2 linked regions of the Arabidopsis thaliana genome follow. The protein of the gene in region 1 interacts with the protein of each later gene in a biochemical or structural test. Each region holds a gene or a part of one and is shown in the gene's direction. Other genes may lie near its edges.

Region 1 (4,678 bases):
ATACGCTATTCACTCAAGTGGTTTCGAATCTGTTAAGTCATTAACAATACAGTCAGTGCCACTAGACCCTAAGAAAAACAGACATTACGTCAACGCTCTTCTCGTGGTAGCGGCTCTTGTAGCCACAGTGACGTTTGCTGCAGGCTTTACAATACCAGGTGGTTATATCAGCGATAGCAAAAAACCAAACTTGGGCAGGGCAACTTTGGCCACTAACCCAACTCTCTTCATTTTTCTGCTTTTTGACATCTTGGCAATGCAAAGTTCTGTTGCAACAATATGTACTCTTATTTGGGCGCAGTTGGGTGATCTAGCACTCATCCTCAAATCCTTACATGTGGCCTTGCCCTTACTACTTTTTTCATTACTATGCATGCCCGTAGCATTCCTTTTTGGCGTGATCACTGCAATTGCCCATGTGAAATGGCTTTTAGTCACCATTAGCATTATATCTGGTGGATTCTTCCTTTTCGCAATCTTTATCCTTGGCCCTCACGTCATGCTACAGCGCTCACACCTTCCGCCCAGTTCTGGTATATTTCTCAAGACTTTTATGCTGACTATAGACATATCTGAGTTGTTTGTGATTTTGATCAAAGCTTGTTTTGGTTGTGTGGCGTGTTCCGAATAAATCATCAAAAGTTTATAGATCAAAGGATATTTTTCTTCTCTTTTTTTTTTCTTTCAAAAAGCTACGAGATATGCTGGTCTCTAGCTCTGAGAAGCGGCATCTTGATCATACAACTCATTCGAAGTCCTATCAGAATTATCTGTAGTTGTAATAAAGCGTGAAAAGTATATCATTCGAAGAGATTTTCCTCTAAAATAATCGAGTGATATTTTATTATTCGGTTTAGTGGATACCAGTTTACTAATCTCTCGAATTTATGAACCACATTCAAAGGAGATGAGTTTAACAAAAAAAAAAGGTAAATTGTTTTTTATTCTCGTCGTGCGTTCCACATGAGTCGTTTTCAAGAGCAATATAGACGATACTTCACAAGAATTATTATTTTTGTTGGGGTATAAAAATTTGAAGATACGTTTGGCAACGACAATACGACGTTAGATTGTTCCAAGAGGTGCAAAAACTTAGGGACCCTCTTTATTCGTTCACTGTAACCACTGACCACAACATGACTAGGTAGACTCTTCTTTTTGTCAATGTTGATGTTTATACGATTTTGATGAGACTGGCTCTATCAAGATATGAATCTCTGATCATATCTCCACTAATCTTTCATCTTGTTATTCCCTCATTTACTTTTGATTTCCTTCTCTCTCTCTCTTTTTTATGTATACAAATTTTTCTTTATTTCGCTTCACTAAACCCCACCATGTAATTGTGTGAGTTTTGGCGAAGTGGCGCAACACCGTAGAGCACACCAACACTAACCCAATCCATTTTATGACCGTAAATTTTGTTGTTGATTAGTGTATTTTTTTCTTGTTTAGTTATTCTGAGAAGTAAATTTTTTTTTTACAATTAGTTTTTAAACATAGTAAAATAAATTTATGACAGATTATAATATTATTTTAAAAATCAATAATATCTAACAAATTAAATAAACAAATCACAAATTACTATATTTTAAATAAATATTGATAATTTTAATTATATTATTTTGTTTATTGGTTAACTCGCAGGATATGCGAGTTAATTCATTTGAGATTGTAATCCGCCATATACTAACTCGATAACCCTGACTTTTTAGAAATCTAAAAGTATAACCCTATAATAAAATAGATTATGTCCAACTCGCGGATTCTAAACCTGAATTGACATGGCGGAACCATTCATAAAACCATACCAATTCTTGCGTTTTGGAAAGTTGGTTTCCTTTTCATTTCTTTGAATTTGATCCTAGATTGTGTAGTTCTCAAGCTCATGCTCTTGCTCGTCAAAAACGTATCAACGATTTGCTTTTCCTTTAGACGTTCTTGCATCGGATTGGTTTACTCAACTCCACTCGATGAAAAAGTTACTATCTTAAAAAGAACAAATGCAAATTCAATAAAATTCCCCAATATCTACGCATGAAAATATGATTCTGTCTTTTTTTTGTTTGTCTATCTTTCAATACTTTAAAAAGTGTATTTCTAGAGGCGATTTGTCATTTCCCGAATAGGAATTTGAGTAAAAAAAAACACTCTGTTTTTTATTTCCACTAATATCAAATCGGCGAATATAGTTCCCACCATTCTTATCTCCTTGTCGTCACTCGGAATTTTTTAAATAATAGGATCGCTTTAATAATATAATCTCTATAATTTATAGTTCCTTTTCCAATATTGGCGTCTCCGTTGAAGCTTTCCACAAATCTCAAATTTGTTTGGAGACTCTCAAATGTATCCTTCTCTCGACGATGATTTCGTCTCTGATTTGTTTTGCTTCGATCAAAGGTTCGTCCTTTCGCACTCTTCTCTTCCTTCACCTTCCTCTGTTTTCTCTATCTCTTTCGATTCAGTTGTTTTATCGAATTTGATCCCTTTTTTCAATTGCAAAATCATATCTTTAATGTTCAATTCGATTTCTGTGAAAAGTGTTGTTGTTTTTTTCGCATTTCAGGGGGAAAGGTTGTGTCTTTTGATGATAATTTGACGAACCCTAATGTATCTGAAAGCTGTTAAATTGAATAGGAGAAGAAGTAGCTTTATGGATGTTGTTGTTTATATTTACTCCTATTGATGGATGTGAATCTTTTTGGTCATGATGACTCTTGTAGCAATGGAGCAGAACTTGATGATTACACACAGTTTGGTGTAAATTTGCAGACTGATCAAGAGGATACCTTTCCAGATTTTGTGTCATATGGTGTGAATTTGCAGCAGGAGCCAGATGAAGTCTTTAGTATTGGAGCTTCTCAATTGGATTTGTCCTCGTATAATGGAGTTTTGTCGCTAGAGCCAGAACAGGTGGGGCAACAAGATTGTGAAGTTGTGCAGGAAGAAGAAGTAGAGATCAATTCTGGTTCATCTGGTGGAGCTGTTAAGGAAGAACAGGAACATTTAGATGACGATTGCTCCAGAAAGCGGTGAGTTTTGAAAAAATATAAACTTTTTGTGATTTGGTGGTAGTTGGTTGTGTTTTTAATTGAATCTGTGATGGTTGTTGATAGGGCAAGGACTGGATCGTGTAGCAGAGGAGGAGGAACTAAAGCGTGTCGTGAAAGGTTGAGGAGGGAGAAGCTAAATGAGAGGTATGTTTAGAGCTTAGTCTATGTTTTTGTTTTGTGAAGTGAGTTGTCTCAAGGGGAAAAAAATTGTTGTTGTTCTGTTAGGTTTATGGATTTGAGCTCGGTTTTGGAGCCTGGGAGGACTCCTAAGACTGATAAACCGGCTATACTCGATGATGCAATCCGTATATTGAATCAACTTAGAGATGAAGCTCTTAAGCTTGAAGAAACTAACCAGAAGCTTTTAGAGGAGATCAAGAGTCTCAAGGTTGGTTGTTCATTCACTTTCACCTAAACCAAGAATCTTGTTCAATGGGATGTGAACAGATTTCTAAGTTTGTATGTTTCTTTATAGGCGGAGAAGAACGAGCTGAGGGAGGAAAAGCTGGTGTTGAAGGCGGATAAAGAGAAGACAGAACAACAGTTAAAGTCTATGACGGCTCCATCTTCAGGGTTCATACCTCATATTCCAGCTGCATTTAACCACAACAAAATGGCTGTTTATCCAAGTTACGGTTACATGCCAATGTGGCATTATATGCCTCAATCCGTTCGTGACACATCTCGTGATCAAGAACTCAGGCCTCCTGCTGCTTAAACTCTCAATTGTTTTTTTTTGGTACCCATAGGGAACTCATAGAGATTTCTGAATCACTTGGTTTAGGATTCTTCCGTTTGGCAAGTGTAAAAGCTTTACTCTTGATCTTGGGTTGTATTTTTCTTATAAAATAAATATAACTCCAGAAACTTGTGATTCTTCTCTGATCTATGAGTTCGAAAAGTTCAGTTATCAAAAACTTTAGCTCAGACCAAAAATGTTGCTCTCGTTGAGAGTTGAACTCAAGACCTCCCGCTTACTAAACGGGTGCTCTAACCAACTGAGCTACGAGAGCTTCTTGCTGTTGTATTCTTCGCTATATGAATAATTATTTTTACCATTCACTGAGTAGCAACAAATTAGCCAATTAGGACCAAAGTGACAATGAATTTACAAAGGTTGAGCTGATGGCTATTCCGTAGGTTAATAAATCAGTCGCGTTGTGAAATAAGTTGGAACAATAACATTGAAGTGGTGTCTCTAAGAAACAATAATCCATAAATATTTCTACAAAAAAGTGTCATAAAAGCTTCTTGAAGTAAGCAAAATGATTTGCAGAGATTTTGCCTTTCAATGGCCTCATCAGATAGACTCTTTAAACCCATCCTGGATTCCAAAATGAAAATAAAATACAGACCGAATAAAACCGATGAAAGATATGGCTTCTTCAGTTTGCTTTTGCCTTTGGAGCCTTTTTCCTGAGTTGCCTACCGTGTTTCCTTGAGTTTTTCATTCCAATGAAGAAGAGCAGTCCTCCAAGAAGAGCCAAGCTCTGAAAAGTTAACACAGAATAGAAAAAGATCTCAGGTCTATGTCAACAGTTGTTTAAACTTTCATTAAACAACCAATATGACATTAGCTAACCTGTGTAAATTTTGAAAATAGTTGGCCGAATTCCTTTCTG
Region 2 (8,047 bases), on another chromosome or scaffold:
TACATGAACAGAAATGGCAATTCTAATGGAAAAAACAGATGGAACCAGAAAAATAGAGTAAGAACGAAAACTTAAATATAGAATGTTGAAACAAGATAAGTGTAAGGATGCATTTAAAAGGAAGAGACGAGGCAAATAAACATTATCCTTAGACGAAAAAAATAAAACAAAACAAAAGAGGGAAAAAGGATACATGAAAAGAGATTGATCACTATATTGATGGATCACAATTCACAAAAAGCCAACCCATTGCCTATTGTACACTTGCACGATACTCGAAATTTCCAAATAATTCGGAACAAAAAAAACAGCTATATTCATTTTTTAAAATAATCAACCAATCGAATTTAGTCTTAAATTGTATAATTGTTTTAATCATTTAGGTTTACGATCATAATTAGGTGGTCATAGATGCCTATATCGTTGCATTAATTGAAGAAGGGAGAATAATAATCCTACCATCTATGATCCTATAAGATTGCAATAAAGCTATATATATATATATATATTCATATAGTATATATGATCTAATCTCTTGTTAATTACTATATAAATTAGGTAAAGGTTACCGTAGAAAATTACGTGGAACAATGTTGAAATGCTTACATAAGTTGACTAGTCCGTGTTGTTTTTGTTCTTTATAGAATTATAGTCAAGAACGGCGAATTATTAAGTTGTTTCTGATTATAAAATAAATAGGTTGTTGTGAAATCGGGGGAAAAAGAATAATGAATACTTGTTAAATATTGGTCCCCTAATAAATGTTATTTATTTTGGTTATAAGAAAAAAAAGGAATGTGTTGTGGAGAAGAGAGCGCGAGTGGAACTTGTTGCTACCCAATTGTCGCCACACTTCCCACACGTCCCCTCTTGTATCTTTTTTTTACTTTTCACCACTTCCTTTGTCCTCTGTTTTTTTCCCACCATTTTCTACTTCATCAATCTATTCCTTTTGTTTTTTTGGTAAAATATGTAAATATCATCTATTTAAAAATAAAATATGAACGAATAGATTTATAAATATACAAAATTGAAATTTTAAGATACTTTTAATCGAAAAGAGTTCCCAAATATTTACGTAATTAACATTTTTCAAAGTTTATTTAGGTTTAAATGTAATTTTCTGGTGTACCACTAACTAGACTATACATAATATAAACACGACTGTGAAACATGATCATCATTAGCTGTTGATTATCTACTAAAGAATTGTTTGTTATCTCTACATAAGAATATATATTGAACACGATTTCTATTATCTTTTACTAATTTGAAATAGAATTGTTTCTAGTAATGACACAAAATTAATTGACTCAATCTAGTAAACCTTGGAGCACATGCAAACTCAATTAAACAAGTTTAAACCTTTGTATTTGCATTTATTAATCAAAGCAAAACTGTGAAGCAATAATTTAATCAATGGTTTAATTAAGAAGCTAATTAGCTATTTGGCTCCTTTAGATTACGAACGGGTGCTGCTACATCTCCTCTCTGTCATTAGTCATTACTAAATATTTAAACCAAGTTCGAATCTGTCTTACATTATCTTATTTCATAAAATCTCAAAGCCAAATTCATCTTTTCTTTTGAAAGTGCTCCCTCAAAAGCTAAACCTCAAACATATAAAATAGCAAATTCATTTTAACAAAAGCTTAATGAATTCCACGTAAGCAATTACATAACGTTTTTGCCCCTAGTCAGTAGAGTCCCTCCTTCTAACTCCGAGAACCAGCGTCCATGTCTCGCGGACCAAATGCGTTCGTAGGTAAGACGCTTGCACGTGTCGAGATGTAATCGGTCACGTGCCAACCTGGGTTGGTTGCATCAGCATCCGACGTGGCGATGTGAATGGCCACGTGCTACAAAACCTATGTATAGAAACACCCACCCAATCCCCAAGCACTTTTATTCATTTTCTATAAAAAAATTTACAAGGATCGTATAATACTACTAACAGTTTTTTTTAAATATTTTCCAGATAAACATTAATAAAACGATAAAAGGCAAAAAATAAAAAAGAAAAGAAAGCAAAAGCAAAATCAAAATCGATATATCAGACAACGCCTCGACCTTTCTTTCTTTTTTTCCTTCTCATCGTCTCCGTTGAACAACACCACACAAACACCAGAAGAACACCAGATAATTCCCATGGTGAACCGAGCTCAGATTTGAAAATTGAAGGTCGTAGACGAATCATAAGGAAAGAGAGAAGTGGTTTGAGATTTCTTTTTTGACGGACGAAAACGGAGATAAGCTTTGGGGGAAATGGCGACGCCGTTACCAGATTTTGAGACGGCGAGAGGCGGCGGAGCAGTGGCGTCTTCTTCAACCACGGTTCTTCCGAGTTCTGTGTCTTCTTCTTCTTCTTCATCTCGTCCGTTGCCTGTGGCGAATTCGTTCTCGGATGACGCGGAAGAGATTTCTCCGATCCTGATTTTCTTGTTCTTTCATAAGGCAGTATGTAGTGAGCTTGAAGCTCTTCATAGATTGGCTCTTGAGTTTGCTACTGGTCACCATGTCGATCTCCGGCTGCTTCGTGAACGGTACCGGTTCTTGAGATCCATCTATAAGCATCACTGCAATGCCGAAGACGAGGTAATGCGAAAACCTGGTCCTCTTCTTTTAAATTTGATCTCATCATGTTCTGAAAACTGCTGAATTAGAATTTGGAACCATCTCTACTTGGATTTTGAACTCAATACATATAGCTGCAAATTTGTGTAAATCTGACTTGATTTTATCTTAAACGAATTGTAAGTCTCAATTAGTCTCTTGCTGATCATCCTATTGATTCTATGAGTGCGTTGTAGATAGGGAATCTATTGCAACATATTTGTATTGCTATGTTATGAGGAAGAATTGTTGACAGTTGCAAATCTGTGGATGTAGGTGATATTTTCAGCTCTTGACATACGTGTGAAGAATGTAGCGCAAACATATTCTCTTGAACACAAGGGGGAAAGCAATCTTTTCGATCATCTCTTTGAGCTGCTGAATTCTGCCACGGAAACTGATGAAAGTTACCGAAGGGAGTTGGCTCGTTCTACCGGAGCACTTCAGACTTCTGTTAGCCAGCACTTGGCGAAAGAACAGAAACAGGTATTTTTTTCTTTTCCTTCACATCACAGATGTATTATCTCTGTTGTTTTCTATTAACACAGATCGAATATTTAGCATTACGCATTGGCCTTTATTAATTACGGGTTGTTCTTGGCTTGTTGATAGGTGTTCCCCTTACTTATTGAGAAATTCAAGTATGAGGAGCAAGCTTACATAGTCTGGCGGTTTCTCTGCAGTATTCCTGTGAATATGCTTGCTGTGTTCTTGCCATGGATTTCTTCTTCCATTTCAGTAGATGAAAGCAAGGAGATGCAAACGTGCTTAAAGAAGATAGTTCCAGGCGAGAAGCTCCTTCAGCAGGTAAGTTTTGAATTAAGATCCAACTTTCTAAGTTGAAAGACTTTGGCTTGTTGATTGATATTTTCCTTTTGAAGGTTATTTTCACCTGGCTGGGAGGGAAAAGCAATACCGTGGCTTCGTGTCGCATTGAAGATTCTATGTTCCAGTGCTGTCTAGATTCTTCTAGCAGCATGCTTCCTTGTAAAGCAAGTAGAGAACAGTGCGCATGTGAGGGTTCCAAGATTGGGAAGAGAAAGTACCCAGAGCTTACTAACTTTGGCTCATCTGATACTCTGCACCCAGTTGATGAGATAAAGCTCTGGCACAAGTCAATCAACAAGGAGATGAAAGAAATAGCCGATGAGGCTAGGAAGATTCAGCTGTCTGGAGATTTTTCGGATTTATCGGCATTTGATGAACGCTTACAATATATTGCTGAAGTGTGCATCTTCCATAGGTATTTGTTGTATCCTTTCATTTACAATGAAAACAGAATAATCTCAATTTTGCTATTGTTTATTGGCTATCTTTTGTGGGACTATTCAATGTTGATTTATTGAGGTAAATAACTAGATTTGTTTTATAAAGTTGATGTTGATGGCCACTAAAACACGTTTGCCAGCTGTGATGTGTTTTACTTTCAAGTGATATGGATGTTGTTTATCCTTTACTCTTCTCATGCTTAAGCACGTTTCTGCATTAGAGTGTTATCATTCGAAAAAGAGTTTTATCAAATGTTCATATCTACATACAACTTTTTTTTTCTTCTGACAGAGATTGAATTGTCATTGGACTATTTTTGAGATGATCTGTTCTTTTCTCGTGCAGTCTTGCAGAGGACAAGATCATATTTCCAGCTGTAGATGGAGAGTTTTCATTTTCTGAAGAGCACGATGAAGAAGAAAATCAGTTTAACGAGTTTCGATGCTTAATTGAAAATATCAAGAGTGCTGGAGCCTCTTCTACTTCCGCTGCCGAATTTTACACTAAGCTGTGCTCACATGCTGATCAAATAATGGAAACTATTCAAAGACACTTCCATAACGAGGAAATTCAGGTGAACTATTGCTTTTAAGTGCTGTATGATATTGTAAACAGGTGAAACTATGAAAGTTTGGCATAAGATCATTTGATACTATATGCTATGAAGATTCAAGATACCAATTTCAGGATGTCAACTAACTTGTAGTGGTTGCAGGTGCTACCCCTTGCACGAAAGAACTTCAGCTTCAAAAGACAACAAGAACTTCTCTACCAAAGCCTGTGTATAATGCCATTGAGACTAATTGAACGAGTTTTGCCATGGTTGACGGCATCTTTAACAGAAGATGAAGCTAAGAATTTTCTGAAGAACTTGCAAGCTGGAGGTACTATCTACTGTACTGCCTTAAACTTAACCTTCTTTCAAATTATTAGCTACTCACAATTTTGCATAATTACATGCTTTTTCTTGTGGCCTCAGCACCTAAATCGGATGTTGCTCTCGTTACTCTTTTCTCTGGTTGGGCTTGCAAAGGACGCAAAGCCGGGGAATGCTTGTCTCCAAACGGGAATGGTTTATGCCCTGTGAAAACACTAAGCAACATTAAAGAAGTCAACCTTCAGTCATGTAATGCTTGTGCGTCTGTTCCATGCACGAGTAGGAGTACAAAATCGTGTTGCCAGCATCAAGATAAAAGGCCAGCTAAGCGAACTGCTGTATTGTCTTGTGAAAAAAAAACCACCCCTCACTCGACAGAAGTTGCAAATGGGTGCAAGCCATCTGGAAATGGTAGGTCATGCTGTGTTCCGGATCTCGGAGTTAACAATAATTGTCTGGAACTTGGTTCTCTTCCAGCAGCTAAAGCTATGAGATCTTCTTCGCTAAACTCTGCTGCACCCGCTCTTAATTCCAGCCTCTTTATTTGGGAAATGGATAGTAACAGCTTTGGTACTGGACATGCTGAGCGGCCAGTTGCTACAATATTCAAGTTTCACAAGGCCATAAGCAAAGATCTAGAGTTTCTTGATGTTGAATCTGGAAAGCTCATTGATTGCGATGGAACATTTATTCGTCAATTTATCGGTCGATTTCACCTACTCTGGGGTTTCTACAAGGCTCATAGTAATGCAGAAGATGACATCCTATTTCCAGCTCTAGAATCGAAGGAGACACTTCACAATGTCAGTCACTCTTACACGCTCGACCATAAACAGGAGGAGAAGTTGTTTGGAGATATTTATAGTGTCCTTACCGAACTTTCAATTCTTCATGAGAAGTTACAGAGTGATTCTATGATGGAGGACATAGCTCAAACTGACACTGTTCGGACGGATATCGATAACGGTGACTGCAACAAGAAATACAATGAACTGGCTACAAAGCTACAGGGGATGTGCAAATCCATTAAAATCACTTTGGATCAGCACATTTTCTTGGAGGAACTGGAGCTTTGGCCTCTATTTGACAAACACTTCTCCATTCAAGAGCAAGACAAGATTGTGGGTCGTATAATCGGAACAACGGGTGCTGAAGTTCTTCAATCTATGTTACCATGGGTGACGTCTGCCCTTTCTGAAGATGAGCAAAACAGAATGATGGATACCTGGAAGCAGGCAACCAAGAACACAATGTTCGATGAATGGCTTAATGAATGCTGGAAAGGATCACCCGACTCATCCTCAACAGAAACATCCAAACCTAGTCCACAGAAAGGTAAAAGCATTGCTTAGCTATTTCTCACCAACTTAATATCTAACTTGTTTAATGTAACCTTAGATGTTTCTTCTTTGGACTTCATAACTCATACTTAAGCTGGCAACTATAGTTTCTCTGTGCTAAGTTTGTTTTGCTTATGTCAAGTTTATTTTCCATATAGATAATGATCATCAAGAAATCTTGGACCAAAGTGGTGAACTATTTAAGCCAGGGTGGAAAGATATTTTCCGCATGAACCAGAATGAACTAGAGGCTGAAATCAGGAAGGTCTATCAGGACTCAACACTTGATCCGAGGAGAAAAGATTATCTCGTACAGAATTGGAGGACCAGGTCAGATTTTTTTCACTATTTCCACGCATGGATCCTTTATTCCACATTGTCATGCATACAGCATGCCAGACATAAATCTAGAACCCCCCAAAGAGATAATACATTTCCCTGTATTACTTGAACTTCTTTTGCAATGCGGAAGAGTATAAGTGGTGCTCCTGTCCTTTACAGTTTCCCAATCCAAAATAACGTGCTCAGTTTATTTTCCACTGTGCATGTATATGTGTCCTTGATTGAGCAATCTTCTGATATAGAGAACCTATAATCTCATTCACATGTCCCTCATACCCGAATCCTATTTGTTCTAGAGTAACATTTATTTTAAAATTCTTCTGTTGGTGCATTTATCAGTCGATGGATTGCGGCTCAGCAAAAGTTACCTAAGGAAGCAGAAACTGCAGTAAATGGTGATGTTGAACTTGGATGTTCCCCGTCTTTTCGGGATCCCGAGAAGCAGATATATGGATGCGAGCATTACAAGCGTAACTGCAAGCTTCGAGCTGCTTGTTGTGATCAGTTGTTCACTTGTAGGTTTTGCCATGACAAAGTAAGCGACCACTCCATGGATAGGTAAGATCTTATATTCTAAAGCCAGTTTCCCCTAATTAAATTGAAACTTCTTTGTTCGTATTTTTTTTCTCTCTCTGTGATATGTAATTTTATATTTGAAACATATTACAGAAAATTGGTGACGGAAATGCTCTGTATGCGGTGCCTCAAGGTGCAACCTGTTGGTCCCATCTGCACAACACCTTCATGCGACGGATTCCCAATGGCAAAGCACTATTGCAGTATTTGCAAACTTTTTGATGATGAAAGGTAAACAAAACCCAACAGTTTGATGCATAAACGAATCAATTTACCACTGTCAAAAATCAAACTTCAGAAGCTATTCTAACCGTGAGAAACAATTATCTGCATTCAGGGCCGTTTACCACTGTCCATTCTGCAACCTTTGCCGGGTCGGGGAAGGACTAGGAATCGATTTTTTCCATTGCATGACATGTAACTGTTGCCTAGGGATGAAATTAGTAAACCACAAGTGCCTCGAGAAGAGCCTCGAGACAAATTGCCCCATCTGCTGCGAATTTCTTTTCACATCGAGTGAAGCAGTTAGAGCCTTACCATGTGGTCACTACATGCACTCAGCTTGCTTCCAGGTTTGCAAATCTCTCTTTCTCTCATTAAACTTAAATTAACTTTTAACGCCTAAAATCAAAACACTTGCTGTTACTCTGGTCTTTCAGGCTTACACTTGCAGTCACTACACATGTCCAATCTGTGGAAAATCATTAGGAGATATGGCTGTAAGATGATCCCCGCCCCTCAAGAGTGTAACATGCATATCACATCATGCAAATATTGTTTACTGAACTGTTTCTTCTTCGTTTCTTTTGCGAACTCCACAGGTTTATTTTGGTATGCTTGATGCACTGTTAGCTGCAGAAGAACTTCCAGAGGAATACAAAAATCGCTGTCAGGTGAGAAACACTAAAACTGCTGCGTCTTGACTATTTCTTTTAGTCTAGTCATTTCATGACACACATACACAAATGTTTCAGGACATTCTATGTAATGATTGTGAACGCAAAGGAACTACACGGTTCCATTGGTTGTA

What was found.
Region 2: the proteins of bHLH104 (region 1) and BTS form a complex in vitro, tested with the Arabidopsis thaliana proteins (one study listed by BioGRID).

The regions. Positions count from the first base shown.
Region 1 is NC_003075.7:8,297,730-8,302,407, forward strand, and holds bHLH104 (basic helix-loop-helix (bHLH) DNA-binding superfamily protein), read left to right. Parts: upstream 1-1,667; 5' UTR 1,668-2,347; coding exon 2,348-2,403; exon of another isoform or gene 2,404-2,688; coding exon of another isoform or gene 2,689-2,726; coding exon 2,727-3,035; intron 3,036-3,119; coding exon 3,120-3,200; intron 3,201-3,281; coding exon 3,282-3,444; intron 3,445-3,531; coding exon 3,532-3,774; 3' UTR 3,775-3,938; downstream 3,939-4,678. Other genes in the region: ACD6 (ankyrin repeat family protein), read left to right, coding at 1-631; AT4G14420 (HR-like lesion-inducing protein-like protein), read right to left, coding at 4,442-4,546, 4,639-4,678.
Region 2 is NC_003074.8:6,272,043-6,280,089, forward strand, and holds the start of BTS (zinc finger protein-like protein), read left to right. Parts: upstream 1-1,923; 5' UTR 1,924-2,265; coding exon 2,266-2,595; intron 2,596-2,889; coding exon 2,890-3,099; intron 3,100-3,225; coding exon 3,226-3,420; intron 3,421-3,494; coding exon 3,495-3,856; intron 3,857-4,227; coding exon 4,228-4,456; intron 4,457-4,597; coding exon 4,598-4,766; intron 4,767-4,861; coding exon 4,862-6,094; intron 6,095-6,257; coding exon 6,258-6,429; intron 6,430-6,780; coding exon 6,781-6,999; intron 7,000-7,110; coding exon 7,111-7,248; intron 7,249-7,354; coding exon 7,355-7,589; intron 7,590-7,676; coding exon 7,677-7,736; intron 7,737-7,838; coding exon 7,839-7,910; intron 7,911-7,991; coding exon 7,992-8,047. UniProt on the Arabidopsis thaliana protein: Essential protein. Negatively regulates the response to iron deficiency and thus contributes to iron homeostasis. Exhibits E3 ubiquitin-protein ligase activity in vitro.